Lepisosteus oculatus: one gene and its partner. The protein of the gene in region 1 purifies or fractionates together with the protein of each later gene. This does not show direct contact. Links are inferred from orthologs where the notes say so. Each region holds a gene or a part of one and is shown on either strand. Other genes may lie near its edges.

Region 1 (7,521 bases):
TTCCCCCCTGCACGGGGCGAAGGAGGCTGCACCCCCCCGTGCAGTGTGCAGTGTGCGCAGTGTGCAGTGCAGTAATTTAGGGGAAAGCCCCCCCCCCAGGACACGCACGCCAGCAGACACGGAGGCCTCTCCGACCGCCCTTCCCCATCTGCGGCTGGCGTCGCCCCGGCAGTCTCGGCTTTCATTGAATTTCTCTAAAACGTCCGGCATCCTTTCAAAACCCTGCAGCGGGTCACTGCCCCCCCCAAACCACGGTTTCGCTTAATAAAAAAAAAACCCGCGCACATCCTTCATTTCGCGTACGAAATTGAGAAATATACCTTCATCTTGACATCTGTCTCTTTCCAGTGGGGTCTCAGTTCCTTGATAAGTTTCTGGGCTCCAGCTCTGAAATCGTGCTCGTCTACTGTGACATCTAATTTGGGGACTGCTGGGGCTCCCGCAGGGACGTGGATGTAGTCGGCCATGATCACGAGTACGGTTTTTTTTTTCCCCCTCACTTTTATTAACGGCTGTCAAAGAAAAGACACGTTTCAATGGGCTGTAGACGAGCTCCCGCGCGTGCCTTCGCAGTTAGAATCGCCTCAGCTGGTTCTGCTTCTTAGAACGTTCCAACCCCTCGTAAAGCAACCCGCGCGCGTTGCATGCTGGTCCCGGGGTGAGTCACAGCATCAGGTGAGGCGTTGCCTCATTGTGACAAGGTTGCCGCGACTGTGACGTTTTTCTGCCGGCAGTGTACTGTGTGCGGGCGGCGTCGGGTATTTCAAGTGAAGTTGCTGGATTTTTGTTTTTTATGTTTTAGTTTTGTTTCATTGGAATACGTAATAAACACTCCCCCGTGCATGGCGATACGCAGTAATAAGGCCCAAAGCTCATTTGCTCTGCAGTCCGCATTTATTTTCCTAGTCGTGTGTAACACTTTGAATTGGCAGGGACCTGGGCTGCTCCAAGCCAAGAGCTTTCAAAACCCCGGCAGCCTTTTGGAAAGAGGAGATCTAATTTTAGCAGGCAATTAATCAGCTACCACACATCGTGCTGGTTTTATGCGAAAGAAGGTGTTAAAAAAAAACACCGGCTGATGAGCAACTTCGTAGAAGTTGTTATTAGTTACATAGTATTCCAGAATGGGAAGAGAGTTCTAGAACATGCTGGATATAACCGGGTGCGACGCTCCCTTCTTCAAACGGCGTCATCACATGCACTCACACCCACTCTTGCTCTCTGTTAAAAAAACAAGGTATGATCATCCTGAGGTAGAGAGAGTTTGTATTATCGCCAAGGGACAATTGATTTGAAGGTTAAAGAATAATTTTACGGTAGACCTATAGAATGTGGGTTACAAGCAGTGATTTTACTATGGTCTTCTGACAAAATCGAGTGCTTATTTGCAAAATTCCGGTTCTGCCCGTGTGAATACAGACATATTAGACAGATGCTGTGTTAAAACTATGATTCATGTCTGCAGTAACACTAATCTTTTTTTGAGCTGCAGCATCATTGTGAAATACTGTTTTATGACAATAATGAACTATAATGTTCACGCCTTCAAGGCACAAAAATTAGAATTCTGTGTTACGAAATTCTTCATCAGAGGCGCAGGACACAGTCTTGTGCAGATTCAGTTTTATTGAGCGCAAGAAGTACACAACGTGCGCTGGTTGTGCCCCGCAGAACAGACAAACTGCAAGGGTTTCCCAGCTCTTATATACAGTCAGGAGAAAGTTCGTTTCACAATCTGAGTGCTTGTGCTTTTCTTTGATATGTAATTACTACTTGTCTTGCCCTAGGTTCTGTCCTTTGATATGCAGCAGATATTGGTCTGGTTTATCCTGTTTGTGGGTGTTGTTTCTGTCTTTTATTATGTAGCTGTAAGCCACTGGGGCTGCTAAAGCAAGTCAGCTTTATGGCATCTTAGTGTAACTTTTGGCTAAATTAACAGACCCCATCAACAGCTCTCACAATGTGCTTAAGTGGTGATACTGTGATGCTGGATAAGTGAGATATATACATGTCCTACTGCACTAATACATACAGATGCATGTGCTTTGTAGTTAAATTAGAGCCAAGGACAAAACTGTTAAAAGCAGAAAAAGTACCAACCAAATAAAAATGTAATATTCATTGTTAGAATTGTTTATTTATTCTGAAGGTTATAGAGACCAAATAAGCAGTGAAGCTAATGAGGAATGCTGTCTAACGCACAGCTTCTATTACATAAACTGTCTGAGTTGTGACTTACAGCCTTTTTGCTACCATTTGTATTGTGTTCCTTTTCAGACACAGTGTTTGTAACAGCATGTTTGTCTTAAACATTGTGAATATACAGTAGTCTGGCGTTACTCACAGCTATCTTATATACAGACAACGGTCTGCTAAACAAGTCACAGATTGTGTTCATTGCGACACTACTGTATTTTTACTCTGAATGGTCAAGTTAGAATTTATGACAGCGAGACCTCATTTGGCCCAAACAGTATGTTCATTTAGGGGTTCCTTATTTCTGGCCTGGCTGTTTTGTGAACAAGGAGAGGCTTTAGTCTCAAAACACTTCTTTTTGTTTGTGTTAGAGTAATACTGTTAAATAACAATGATGAACTGGAAAGCATTACATTATTAAAATAAAAAATAGGAATCTTCTTCTATGCATACACAAAATGCTCAACATGATCTCAGAGAGGTTTAGAGTGGGGAATGTGCCGAAGTGTGAGCTACAAAGGAACAAGAAGACGTAAGTCTATACTGTAAGGTAAAAAGAAAGAAAACCCCTGTTTCGGTCCTGGAGACTCTTCAGGTGTGTGTTGAACTGAATGAGAGAGCAGGGAGATGAGGTGAGGGGTGGGGTAGAAAGGACAAAAGGAAAAAACAACAACACAGAACTTAGAAACTGTTACACCAGGAAGAGATCAGAAGTCAAGATGAGCTTTTGAACATGTTTCACTCCTGCAGGTGGTATGGTGCCACAGTGGTTAACATTGGTGGCTCACAGTGCTTGGGGCCTTGGGTTCAATTCAATTCAAGGGGGTGCTGTCTGCATTTAGTTTTTATATTGTCTCTTTGTTCATGTCCTCCAACTGTCCAAGAACATATTACCAGGCTAACTGGCTTCTATCTGTGTGGGCCCTGCGATGGACAGGCATCTTGTCCAGGAGGTATCCTGCCTTGCACCTGTTGCTTACCAGAATAGGGCAGGGCTCCCCCATGACAGTATCAGATAAACTGGCTAGAAATTGGATGGATGGATGTTTCACACTGTTTTTTCCGGCACTCAATGTATAACTAATGTTTTTCTAAATCTCTTTATTTGCTGATTGCAGTTTCCCACACTTCCCCTGGCCTTTGCCAACCAGATTTCCATCTCTTTAGCTCCCCTGTCACATCTCTCTTAACCATTTTCACTGTATATATTTCCTTCCCTGCTCCATGGGAGGAAATTCTGCAGGGTTTTATGAAGAGCAGCTGCAGTAAGATTTGAAATTAAATCATTGCAAGGAGATTTTACGCTTCATCTTTGGGCCACTAGTTAAGTGGCATTAAATAATAAACAAAAAAAACACTCTACAGTCAAGAAACCAACAGGAAACGAGAAACTAGCACCTAGTTTAGATATAACCTCATGGTTGCTTGTGTAAGGTTTATTCATTTATTTTGCACCTGCTTTTGCTATCTCAACAAGCAAGATTTTACAGTTTTGTCTACATATTTTGATGTCTCTACAAGGACAGCAGTATTTGACTAGCTGTGATAATGCCTGTACTGTACAGAGTTATTGCCTAGTTATTCCATGTTCTGAGATTCAGTTTCCTCTCAAAGGCTCTGTATAAAATAACGTTTATTAACCAATCTGGGTCATCTAGTCACTTTCATGACACAATTAAATGTGTGTATGGATATTTCTTATGTATTAAAAATGTTGCTGATTATGATTTGAGGTAACTCAGATATGCATGTTTATTTTTTCTTTGTACTGTATACTTGTATATATCTATTTCTTAACGTTTTCTATAAATCTAGGTAAAATACATGTCTGAGAAACTTTAATCAACACTCTCCTTCAAACTCCCACAAAACGTTTCAGACGAGAAGAGGCCACTGGGTCCTATTTAACTCGTTGGGTAGTTATTAGCTTTTGGATCCAAGACTCTCATCCAGAAATTACTTGCACTTCCTAAGTGGCCCCTCTGCCTTATCTCTCTCCCCTCTCCCTCCTCCACTTTCCCAGCTTTTGTTCTCCGGTGCTATTTAATCTTTGTCGTCTACCATGTCTTTCTCACACCTGAAGAGGGCTTCAGACCCCGTTACCTGTTACCTGAAACACGTCAGCCACATGGCCGAACGCTGACCGTAGTGATGTACTAGATCTAGGGGTCTATAAAGTGAAATCATGCAGCTGGAAAAGCCGCTTTACAATCAAACACTTGAAATGAAAGAGCGAGAAGAGGCGTTCATGCTCCTCTGCTATCGGCTCCCCCGTTTCCACACGGAGCGTTATGGCTGTTCTGTTCCCTTCCGGCGGCTGCGGCCATGCGTCACCCTCTCTCCTCTGGCACATCCTGTTAATTTTCTCTTGCTCCCCGTCTGTTTCGTTCCTAGCTCCCCTCCCGCACCGGTCGCCTACGGTAGCCGGCGGCACAGCGTTGTCCGCAGGGCGAACGCTTTCACCCCCACCCCACCCCAGTCCCGGGATCCGACCGTCCTTACCGGCTCCAAACTCCTCTCCCCTGGGCAGCCCTCGCACGGCGTACCGGTGAGTGTCCGCTCGGGGCAAAAACACACAGACACACAGCACCAGCTTGAGGCGTGTTTCATACAAAAACTACAAACTGGCGTTGAATAATTTGCTTTGTTTTATTGTTTTTTTTTTTTCAGATACCAGGCCTTTCTGCTCCTTCTCGTCTCTCTCTCTCTCTCCCCCCGTCGCTGACCGTATTTGTGCAGTTTTTCTCTCCCTCCCTGCCCTTGGTGCGGGACTGATTTGCGAGGAGCGTTATGGCTATGAGGCAGACACCGCTTACTTGCTCTGGGCACACACGGCCTGTGGTTGACTTGGCTTTCAGCGGAATAACCCCTTATGGATATTTCCTGATAAGTGCGTGCAAAGGTAAGGTATCTCTAAGACATAATATTGGCGTCGCTCACGGTGTCCAACCAAGAGCGATCTGCAGCCTGAATCTTTTTTTTTCTTATCAGTCATCAGCGCAGGTATGCGCTGAATGAAAAAAAAAAAACTTAATCTTCGTTTCCACGGTGTTAAATGTGTAAATGTTGGAAACTTGATATCCCGACTGTCCTGACGGTGAAGGCTCCGGAGACTAAAATAATTTAAAAAATCTAAAAAGTGAAGGTGGAACATTCTTAAAAGAGATTCTTAACATGCAACACGTGTTTTTTTGTGTCCATATATACATATATAACATTAAGGCTTTATAAGAATGTATAAGAAATGAATTAACTTGAAGCGTGGTACCTGTTGACCAAAATGAATGTCCTCTGAATAACGTGAAGAGACAGAAAAAATGACCATGTGACATCATTGCAGCGAAGTGTAAAAACCCTGCAGTGACAGTGGACTGTAGCAGGGCACCTGGATTATTTCATGTTGAGTTGAGTTGGTTAGACTGTGCTTGATCTCGGGAGAGACAGCATGACTAAAAGACTACCTGCAAGGGGGTGTAATTTAGAGAAGGAATGTGATTTGAGTAGAGGTTTATGGAAGTTGCTTTCCCTTCATCAAGCAGGTGCTGACGCAGTCTGATGTGGATTATATTTATGTGTATTATTGTGTTTTTTGTGTGTGCTCCAGTCACTGAATTCTGCTCAATCACAGAGTGCAGTAGATTCTAAGTTAGGTCACTCTCTTTAGCCTTTAGCCATGATCGGCACCCTCATCAAACAGTGATCAGTTTGTCTTGTTGGGTGAGTTGTTGCCTGCTGCCATTGTTCTCTTCATGATTATGACAATGTCACATACAATTGTTTGTGCTCTGTCCTGTTTCTTTCTCTTTTTTGTGTCTTGTAAACTGGCACACATCTTTCCAGGGGCCCTGGGACACCTTTCTGCGTTGCCTTTTCTATTAAGGGTCTGGGTTTCCTCAGGCACGCATTTTAAACAGGAAGCACACATTGGCCATACTTTATCTCGCAAATTTGCTGTTTGTGTCATCCAGTTACAGATTAAAATTTCTGCTTGTCGTATTAATAAATGGACCGCTTTACAAAAGAAGTAAATGGCATTTATGCAAGAACAACACTCCCTATCCTTGGGAAGGGAGCACGTGTATTTAGATACATGTAGGGGTATGTGTAAAAATACTTCAATGCTGACGTACTGTTCCAAAAAGAATATATATATATACACACACCCCAGTATAGTGATGGGGACTCTACTGTAAAAAAACAAAAGGCACCATCCTTTGGATGAGACTAAAACTAAGGTCCTGATCCTCTGTGGTCATTAAAAATCCCGGGGTGCTTCTTGAAAAGAGCAGAGGTGTTACCCTGGTGTCCTGGCCAAAGTTCCCCCTGGCCTTTACCCGTCGTGGCCTCCTAATAACCCCCATCTCTGAACTGGCTTCATCACTCTGCTCTCCTCCCCATTGAGAGCTGGTGTGTGGGGAGCAGACTGGCTCACTTTGCCTCCAGTTCTATCATGCAGGTGGAGCTACACACTGGTGGTGGAGGAGGAGATCCCCATTGCCTGTAAAGCGCTTTGAGTGGGGTGTCCAGAAAAGAGCTATATGGGTTTAAGGATGATTTAGATTATTATTATTATTATTAAAGGTGAGCTGTGTGTTTTTGTGTTGTTTTTTTTTGCGACTGAAATGCTCTGCATCTCCAAATGAAATATCCCACACTGAAGGATCCTACACTTTCTTGGGAAACAGCTGACAGTGCCTCCCCTGGGCAAGGGATTTGAGCATCACACAAAATCAGACCGTTAATCTCTTCAGGTTCGTGCAGAGGCATGGAAGGCTGTTTTCTGGGCCGGCTGGTGACCTGCGAAACGTGTCACTTTGCCGTCTGCAGAATCTTTCCCACGCTCTCGAAGCGTTGACCTTTTGCTCGGTCCTAACTGTGTGTGTGTGTTCTGTGCTCCTCCCACCAGATGGCAAACCTATGTTGCGCCAGGGGGACACAGGGGACTGGATTGGAACGTTTCTGGGTCACAAGGGTGCTGTCTGGGGGGCCACCTTGAACAAAGAAGCCACCAAGGCGGCCACTGCTGCGGCCGACTTCACCGCGTGAGTACGGCTTCGCCGCCGCCGTGGGGACTGCGCTGCGGGACAGAGGCGCTGCTCGCCGGGTGGCGCTCGGTGCTCGGTCCGCTCCCACCGTGTCAAAGACACCGTCCAGAACGTTTATCTTCGTGCATTCAGAAGATGTCCCGAGAAACGCGAGCCGCGCGCTGTAGATCTGAGGTTGAGGGTCCGTTCCCCTGACAGATCAGCTGAAGGGGTCCAGTGATGGAGCGTTTGCTCGACAGTGCGACTGGCTAGTGTAGATGGAGATCCTGACGGTAGATCA
Region 2 (7,666 bases), on another chromosome or scaffold:
TTATGTTTTCCTGATATTTTGGTTCATAAAATATTCAAATATCAAAGTGAACACATGTGCCTTTAGATTCATTCTAAATCAATCTGAAGTCTTGTAAGCTGTCTGTAAGTCTGTAAGTTGTAAGTTCTGGTTATTAAGATAATTAGCTCCTTATGTGGGCCATGTAACAGCTGCAAGTCACCATTTTCTCTGTGGCCATCCCGGCATGCTTGATTTTTTATTATCATACAACTTGGGGGAAAGAAGGGACAATGCAATCACAGACAGAGCAGAGATCAAAGCCTTTGCCTGCCTCTGTCTTTTAATCTTCCCTCAATTGATTTCTACTTCACAAACCCTGCTTCATGACAAATGATAACGACTATCATGTCAAAATCATATAAAGCTGTCGACTGCTTTATCTTATCATAAACCAACTATATATTTATTGAATTTAATTTTGTATGCATATAATACTATTCATTTTTACTTACAAAATATTATATCAGCTATATCAGAGAAGATATTTATTTGGTAGCTTTATTTGGAAATTTTATGAAGAGTCTCAGTGGAGAACTTGTGCCACAAGACACGAGCCTGCTCTCATGAGGGGAAGAGAAAACAATTGATGCAGTCTTTGAGAGGAGAGCTGCAAAACAAGCGTATTGACCAGATGATGGCAAAGCCCGAGGTCCTACTGAGCACTGAAGAGAAGAAAAAGGCTAAGAGAAGAGTGATCCAGATAGGACCTGAGGGGAAGAACTCCCTGGCTGTGGATTGGGATATAACCCAGAATAAGAGTAAGAAGAAAATGGTGGATTTGAATGCTGCTTCAAGAGTGCAGTAAGCGGACTAATGTGCTAAAAGAGAAACGTGAGGCCCTGCGGCCTAAACAGCAGCAAGAATACTGAAAACATAGATGGCTGTTTGCTGTCTGTTCTGTACCTTACATTGAGTGTGAGATGAAGTAACTGAAGGGATAAGGGCAACTCTGAGCGGTAACGACAACCTCCAGGAGAGACCAGAAAAAGCCAGGCAAGAGATGACTTCCCTCACCAAACTCCAGACTAGACTGAAGGACAGGGAGCCTGGGATAGAAAGCCTTCAAGCCCAAATCAGACAGGCAACTGCTGGTCTTTGTCAAACAGGTGCATGATCTTGAGACCAAGCTGGAGGATGAGTGGAAGCAGAGAGACATGGCAGCTGTCGCAGGGAAAAAGCTGGAGGGAGACTTCAAAGAAGTCAAGTGTCACATAAAGACTGCAAATCATGATCAGGACAAGGCTATCAAAACAGGTGCACAAGCTCCAGGCCCAGATGAAGGACTTCCAAAGGGAGATGGGAGATGCCCGCATTGTCGGGGAGAAAGTGCTGACCGCAGTCAAGGAGAGCGAGGAGAAGGCCAAGAGCCTAGAGGCTGAGCTAATGCAGTTACAGGAGGACCTGACAGCAGCAGAGCAAGCATGCAAGCAGATTGAGGCTGACAAGTAAAAACAGGCTGGAGAGCTGGCCAGCAACATTTTGGGAAACTCAGCACTGGCAGATGTGAAGTGGCATTTGGAAGCCAAAGCCTCCAATGGAGGAACTGTAAGAGAAGCAGAGCAGCATGGCAAGGAGAAAGGCTGAGCAGCATGCATAACAGCTAAACAATGAGCTGGAAAAGAGGAGGCCCTAAACCTTTTTCACAAAACTAACAACAGAAGCAGGTGTGGTGGGCAAAGATGGATGACTTTCAGAGCCAGATTGAAACGGCCAAATTAGAAAATGAGAAGCCAAGGGTGCAGTTAGCATTAATGCAGCAGCAACTAAGTAAATCATAGCAATAGATGAAGGACAGAGAAGCAGTGGAGATTTGAAGGGAGGTTACAGTCTTACCCGAATCAAGCCAGAGTAGAGCCGAAGACCACTCAGGAGTAACTGATCCAGGAGAGGGAGAGAGTCAAGATACCGCAGGGACATTTACAAGCCACATGAATGAATGGGCAAGTATGAGGAAAAAGACAAGCCTTTTTCAGAGAATTGCCAGTCCAAGACAGAGGGTGTCACCCATTGGACAAAGAAGCTACTAAGTTTCAGAGGTGAGGGAGAAGGAGCTCTCATCACCAGTGCTAGAGATTGATACGGAGGTCTCTTTGGGTGGAACGTTCAGAAGTACATGTAGATGTCCTGTGTCCTGATGATGACTGTGAGAGAACAAGTGAAAGTGGCTTGAACCTGAGGACAGGCAGCCAAATAAAGCAGAAGACGTGGAACTTCCAGATCGTCCAACAGAGAAAGAAACAGAGTTGCTAGAGAACCATAGACCTGCGCTAGAAGAGAGGGAGAGGTCGCCTGACCGACAACTAATTGAAATGGAAGAACAACGGTTGCAACCCCCAATGAAAGGGGTATTGAAGACTTTTGAGTACCCGGATGGGAGAGTACATGTGGAGCTACCAAGAGAGATGGCTGCCTCTTGAAGAACAAGAGCTGGAAAACCATAGGGTACATGATCCAGGGGAAAGAAAGTATGTCCCTCCCACCCTCCCCATTCACTTCAAAATCCAGGGGGATGTAGCCTTGGAATTGGCTGGTAATCTGTCGTCCAATGGCCTTCCTTATGAGGAGGGAGCATATGGGGTCCTCCTGTTGGGACCACATGAGCTGCTGCTCTCCATCACCTAGCCAGTTGCTGAAAAACAATTGGTCAGGTGACTGTTTAAAAAGCACGAAGAAGAAGCTTCCTGGGTCAGTTAGACAGGGATGTCTGCCGTCTGAAGGCCAGAAGGCAGATCCTCTGTGAGCTATTGACAGGAGGGAGAAAGACAGGCCATGGACTCAAGGAACTAGTGAGTTCTAAGAGTATTGTCAACATTCTTTATGAAATGAAATCCTTAAATGGTAAAGAGTCTCAGAGAGACTTTTCTAATTTGGCAATTTTATGAAGAGTCTCAGTGAGACTGTTTTAACATTTTTTTGTTTGAGGCTCTTAAGCAGTTTAACTCCTTGGCTTGGGTAATTAGGGACACTGAGAAGAAGTTTAGAAAGAAGCTCAAAAAAGTGCTTAGGCTTTTGTTTTGTTGTTTTTGATTTTCCCTACATCATGAAATAAAGCTCACTGGTGTCTTGTACCTTACAGCTGTGTCTGTTTGCCTTGACCCACCTGCTTGTTAAGATTCTGTTATGACACCCAACAGCTTGTCGCCAATTTTAATCAATCAATTTAATTAATCAAACAGAAAATATTTTAATCTCAGTTCTGACCTTATCTTTGAACTTGGATTTAAATTTCAGAGGCATACATAGTAATGCTGACAATACACCTGTTAATGCACATTAAAGATAGAACATATCTTTGGCAGATCATAAAAGAGGTCACTTCAATTGGCACTGGCAACATGGTTTAAATAAAAGACTTTTAAAAAGTTTGTACATGTAGTCATAAAGACAACAGCAGGCGTTAAATGTGTATCTTTTATAAAGAATCTGCATGAAATTGCAGACTCAAGTCCCTGTAAGACGAAACCGTGTGTTTTTAATTAGTTTTTGGGTCACTACTTCTACCACAATGCCTACGTAAGAAATGTTTGCAATCTGGTTTACAAGTCTACAAGTTAGGCACCTACAGTATGTTTGACAAAGCAGAGTATTCTGATTACTTGGTCTCAATATCTTGGACTGTAGGCCTTCCCTGGTGAGTCAGAATCGCTCATCTTCTTTTTGGCCAAATAACAAAACGGCTACAGCACAGTGTCAACGGTGTAACTACTACTGCTAAATCAAACAACGTGAATTTAAAGGATACACGCGATCATACAGAACTTTTATAAACGAGGAATAATGGTCTGGTAGAGGACGTCTCTAATGGGAATTTATTCCTTTCACTAAATGGATAATCGCATCCTCTTTACAATTAAGCAGATATGGATGAAGAAGTAATTTCAGCACTTCTGTTTACCAGATACAGACATCGTTTTTTTGCAGCAGTATATTTAATAAATAAGTCAGGTCTAGTTTACTGGTAAAGATTAAGTGATTACTCTTACGGGACTCAAATATTTTGCCAACCTGCGTTTCTAAGTGAATAAAACCGGAGAGCAAATTACATTTTTGAAAGTGTACATTTTAACTGGAAGACCTATCTGACCCCTATCCGTTTTAATGATATACGTTATTAATTCCTTTACTGACTGTTAAGAAAACGTCATTACTTGAGAGGGAATGTTTTTCTTTTACGATTTTGCTGTGCACTTTCACGGTAGAAGCAGTGAAGGAGTAAACAGTGGAACGGGGCTCAGAGAGCTGTACGGTGAATCATGAGGCCAGCTGGGGGAACCATGACCAAGCACAGTGACATGCATGATATAGAGAGAATACGTGCAAAATGCTATGCTTATCTAAGGAAGTAAATTCTCATAAGATATTAGACCTAAGTGCGTAGCCTGCTTAATCAAAAATAAAACAGTAATTCTGAACAATGTACAGCCTACGTTTCCCAGACAGGTTTAACGTTCATGTTGCTTAGCTGTAGCCCGAATTAATATAATGCCTATATCACTTGTCCGCGCCCTAGCACACTGCGCTAGGCGCTCGCAGCCGAGTGTTGACTTGCGGCTCCGCTATGTGTGTTGGCTGGTAAGAGCTGGGCGGGGTGCGGCGTCCTTGCCAGCCAATCAGGGACGCGATTTCCCCCAGCCAAGACAGCCGAAGTTGTGTGCGAGAGACGGCCAGTCTGGAGTAAATCTGAAACACAATGGATGCAGTTCGTTGTTGTTTAACATTCGTAGTCCTGCTCTTAGGGACTGGAGTACAGGAGACCGAAGGTAAGCGAGAGAGGGGGTGTGGTGCTCCTTTTTAAAAATCCTCAATTTGGATATTTCTTTTCTTCGGATTGAGTCTGGCGCGGGGTTCTCATGCCCGCTGTTGCTCTTTTGTTTCAAGACTCGTCTGCCCCGAAAGACTCTTGTCAAAGATGGCGCAGGTCAGAGAGAGCCGCGCTGTCAGGAATGTGTATTGTTAAGAGTGATTTCCTGACAAGGTAGAAAAAAAAATCAGGAGGGAAAGAGATCGAAAAGTCAGTAGCACGCCTGACGGGCCTGAGTAGAAAGCTACACGGCAAAGCGAGATTCACAGTGGCAAATTCATGTGCAGTCCGATGTGGAGTAGCGGTGAATTGATATTCCCTGGTCGGCAAATGTCCTGAGCTGGAGTCGAGTCGCTGTGTTTGTACTTCTCGGCCTTAATGATAATAGGTCTCTCGACACGTCGGACACTGACCCTGTCCACCGATGGGGCACAGCCAAGGCCTTCTCGCTTCCACAGTCCGGCATTTTTTTCTACTTTGATTGCAAGGAAAAACGCACTATTTACGTGTGTACATATTAGCATATGGTAAATGATTGTTTAGAAGCAGGGTTCTTTTTGAGAAATGCATATTTTGACTCTTTGAAATGCAGCTGAACTCATAAACACGTTGCCTGAACCCAGGCTTATTTACAATTGACATGCTACTGGTTAGCTGTTTTCTGTTGTCTTGTAGCTAACTGTGTAGTTGAATGTTTTGTGACAGGAGTTAGGAGATAAAAGAAACGCCTAATCCGTGCCTTTTGAAGTATCGGGTTTCGGGGTGCCTTGTCATTAACGAAATGTAAAATAAACCTTCTTTGTTTACGTTTCACCTTAAACACCTTGACGTAAAAGGTATATTGTTAGCACGAATCGAACTGTGGTTTGAAAGACCTAAAAAAGGACGGGTGTTGCTGTTGTGATATTTCGGTGTCACCAGCGTGTGATGGGAACAGACACAAAGACTTTGATGTTGTCACGACAGGCTTGCCCTGTAAACCACTGTAGTGCTATTGTTATTAATTGTAATAATCTCTGTGAACGAAAGAAACGGGAAAATATAACCTGTAGGCCTGCACGCCTTTTAAGGTGTCGCTCATGGAATAATTGTCTGGAGAAACAAACCACATGTGCTATGTCCCAGATTTTCAAGTGAACAGAAAGCAGTTTTTGTTTTACCGCAAACGTGTGTTTAGACGCGTCGTGCCACTGGTCTTTGATGTGCTTCAGATATGACTCCAGTGGTGGTAAAAAGTTCCTGCTCCCTTTTGATAACAGCTTTGGTTTTAATTGGGGGCTGCTTGCTGTCACCTGTGGTAATGGAAGAGAATTAAAACATTGAGATGCGTTGCGGGATTCTTTCTAATGGAATTGGGGCTTGTGACCGGTGAAACAGGATTTCCTTGCACAGTCGATGCGCGGATGAAATTAAGCTATCAGATTTGCATGACAATGTGCCGAAATCGACGCCCCGAAGCTCATAGCACAGCAGCTGAAGGAATAGTGTACTGAAATGAAATCTGAGCGTTTTAAAACTGTTTTGCAGAAACCAGTTGTGTTGTACAGTGTTTTCTTAGAATTAATTTCTCCAGATTTTTTCGTGTGGAGTTGAGTTATCAAACCTTGTAGTCCGATCCCTATAAATTTATCTCCAGTTTTTGAAGTGTTCAAGAGTAGTGAAGAATTATTTGTTATAACAGGTTGGTGCAGTGTTAAGCCCTATTATTTATGTGGTTTAGACAGACTTTAGGCCATTTTGCTTTTTGAAAACGTTTTTTGAAAATACCCTTAGCTATTACTGAAGAAGTCATTAATTTATCGGTATACATAACTTAACCTGCCTCTGTCCATATCGCCTATATTTGATATGTTGTGCACATACAAGATTTCAAGCCACTGGAGTTCTACAATTTAAGTCTTGTATGGCACCAGGCCTTCAGGTTCTATAGCTGTGTTTGACTATTGAAGAACAATCCCAGTTTGGTGAAATTTGACCAGATTAGACAATATATATTTTTTGTTTTTACCTTATAGCTCTCCTGGACCAGGGTGGGAAGTTCAGGTTCTAAATCACTAGTTACAGTGCAACAGTGGTTATTACCATTTAAGCTCTTTAATTGAGCCAGTTGAATTATTAAAGACATGGATAAACACAGACGTTAACCCAGTGGATCTTCAAGACTAGGACTAGCTACTGTTCTGCTGGAGCTTTGCAAGGATTTACGTAGGACTGTTTCCCAGTTCTCGTTCTGTTTGATGTCATTGACCGAGTACCTTTTCGTTTTTCTTAAAGAGTGGCTAGACGGTTACATACACACTTTGGCAGTGTGTTTATTTGTCTTCCATTTCCAGCTTGCTGGTGTTCAGTAGTGAGAGTAAAACTCGGGTTTCAGTCAAGTTGACATATGATGCTGCTTTAGCAAATAAAGTAATACGTGAGTCATAAGCATCTGTAGACTGTTCTGTTTGCATGAAAATGAAAATAAAAAAATAAAATCTAAATATAGTTAAAAGAGTAATTATTCATGTTCTCATGGAGTTGAGTGGGGAGTGGGGGGGAAGGAAGGTTAAAACCGTTACTGGTTTTGCAAGCTTGTTTTGTACGTGGTAAATACAGTAGCTCAGCCTTTTGGCTAGTAGAATCCAGAGCATTCAAAGATTTGTATGACCCTGAACTGCCTGTTGTCCAAGCTTAAGGAACCAAAACTAATTTGAAAAGTTGTATATATGCCAGTTGTAATTGGATTCAAAGGCATTGATGCATTCAAACAGCCCTGCTTCAGTCAGATTGAGAACTGGGCTGTGAATCTGGCTTGTTAAAGTTAATACACAGTTTAGTTTCCTTGAGGGATTAGATTTTGCT

Evidence for each region. Proteins that work in one complex are often made in the same cells at the same time.
Region 2: the proteins of strap (region 1) and tgfbr1b purify together in Homo sapiens (affinity purification with western blotting; 3 studies listed by BioGRID and IntAct, with this or other methods). This does not show direct contact. The link is inferred for Lepisosteus oculatus from reciprocal best matches to the Homo sapiens genes STRAP and TGFBR1.

What each region holds. Positions count from the first base shown.
Region 1 is NC_090702.1:51,134,205-51,141,725, reverse strand, and holds the start of strap (serine-threonine kinase receptor-associated protein), read left to right. Parts: upstream 1-4,515; 5' UTR 4,516-4,744; intron 4,745-4,866; 5' UTR 4,867-4,986; coding exon 4,987-5,098; intron 5,099-7,102; coding exon 7,103-7,238; intron 7,239-7,521. Other genes in the region: etnk1 (ethanolamine kinase 1), read right to left, coding at 321-467. UniProt on the Homo sapiens protein: The SMN complex catalyzes the assembly of small nuclear ribonucleoproteins (snRNPs), the building blocks of the spliceosome, and thereby plays an important role in the splicing of cellular pre-mRNAs.
Region 2 is NC_090701.1:24,416,545-24,424,210, reverse strand, and holds the start of tgfbr1b (TGF-beta receptor type-1b), read left to right. Parts: upstream 1-4,656; 5' UTR 4,657-4,711; coding exon 4,712-4,781; intron 4,782-7,666. UniProt on the Homo sapiens protein: Transmembrane serine/threonine kinase forming with the TGF-beta type II serine/threonine kinase receptor, TGFBR2, the non-promiscuous receptor for the TGF-beta cytokines TGFB1, TGFB2 and TGFB3.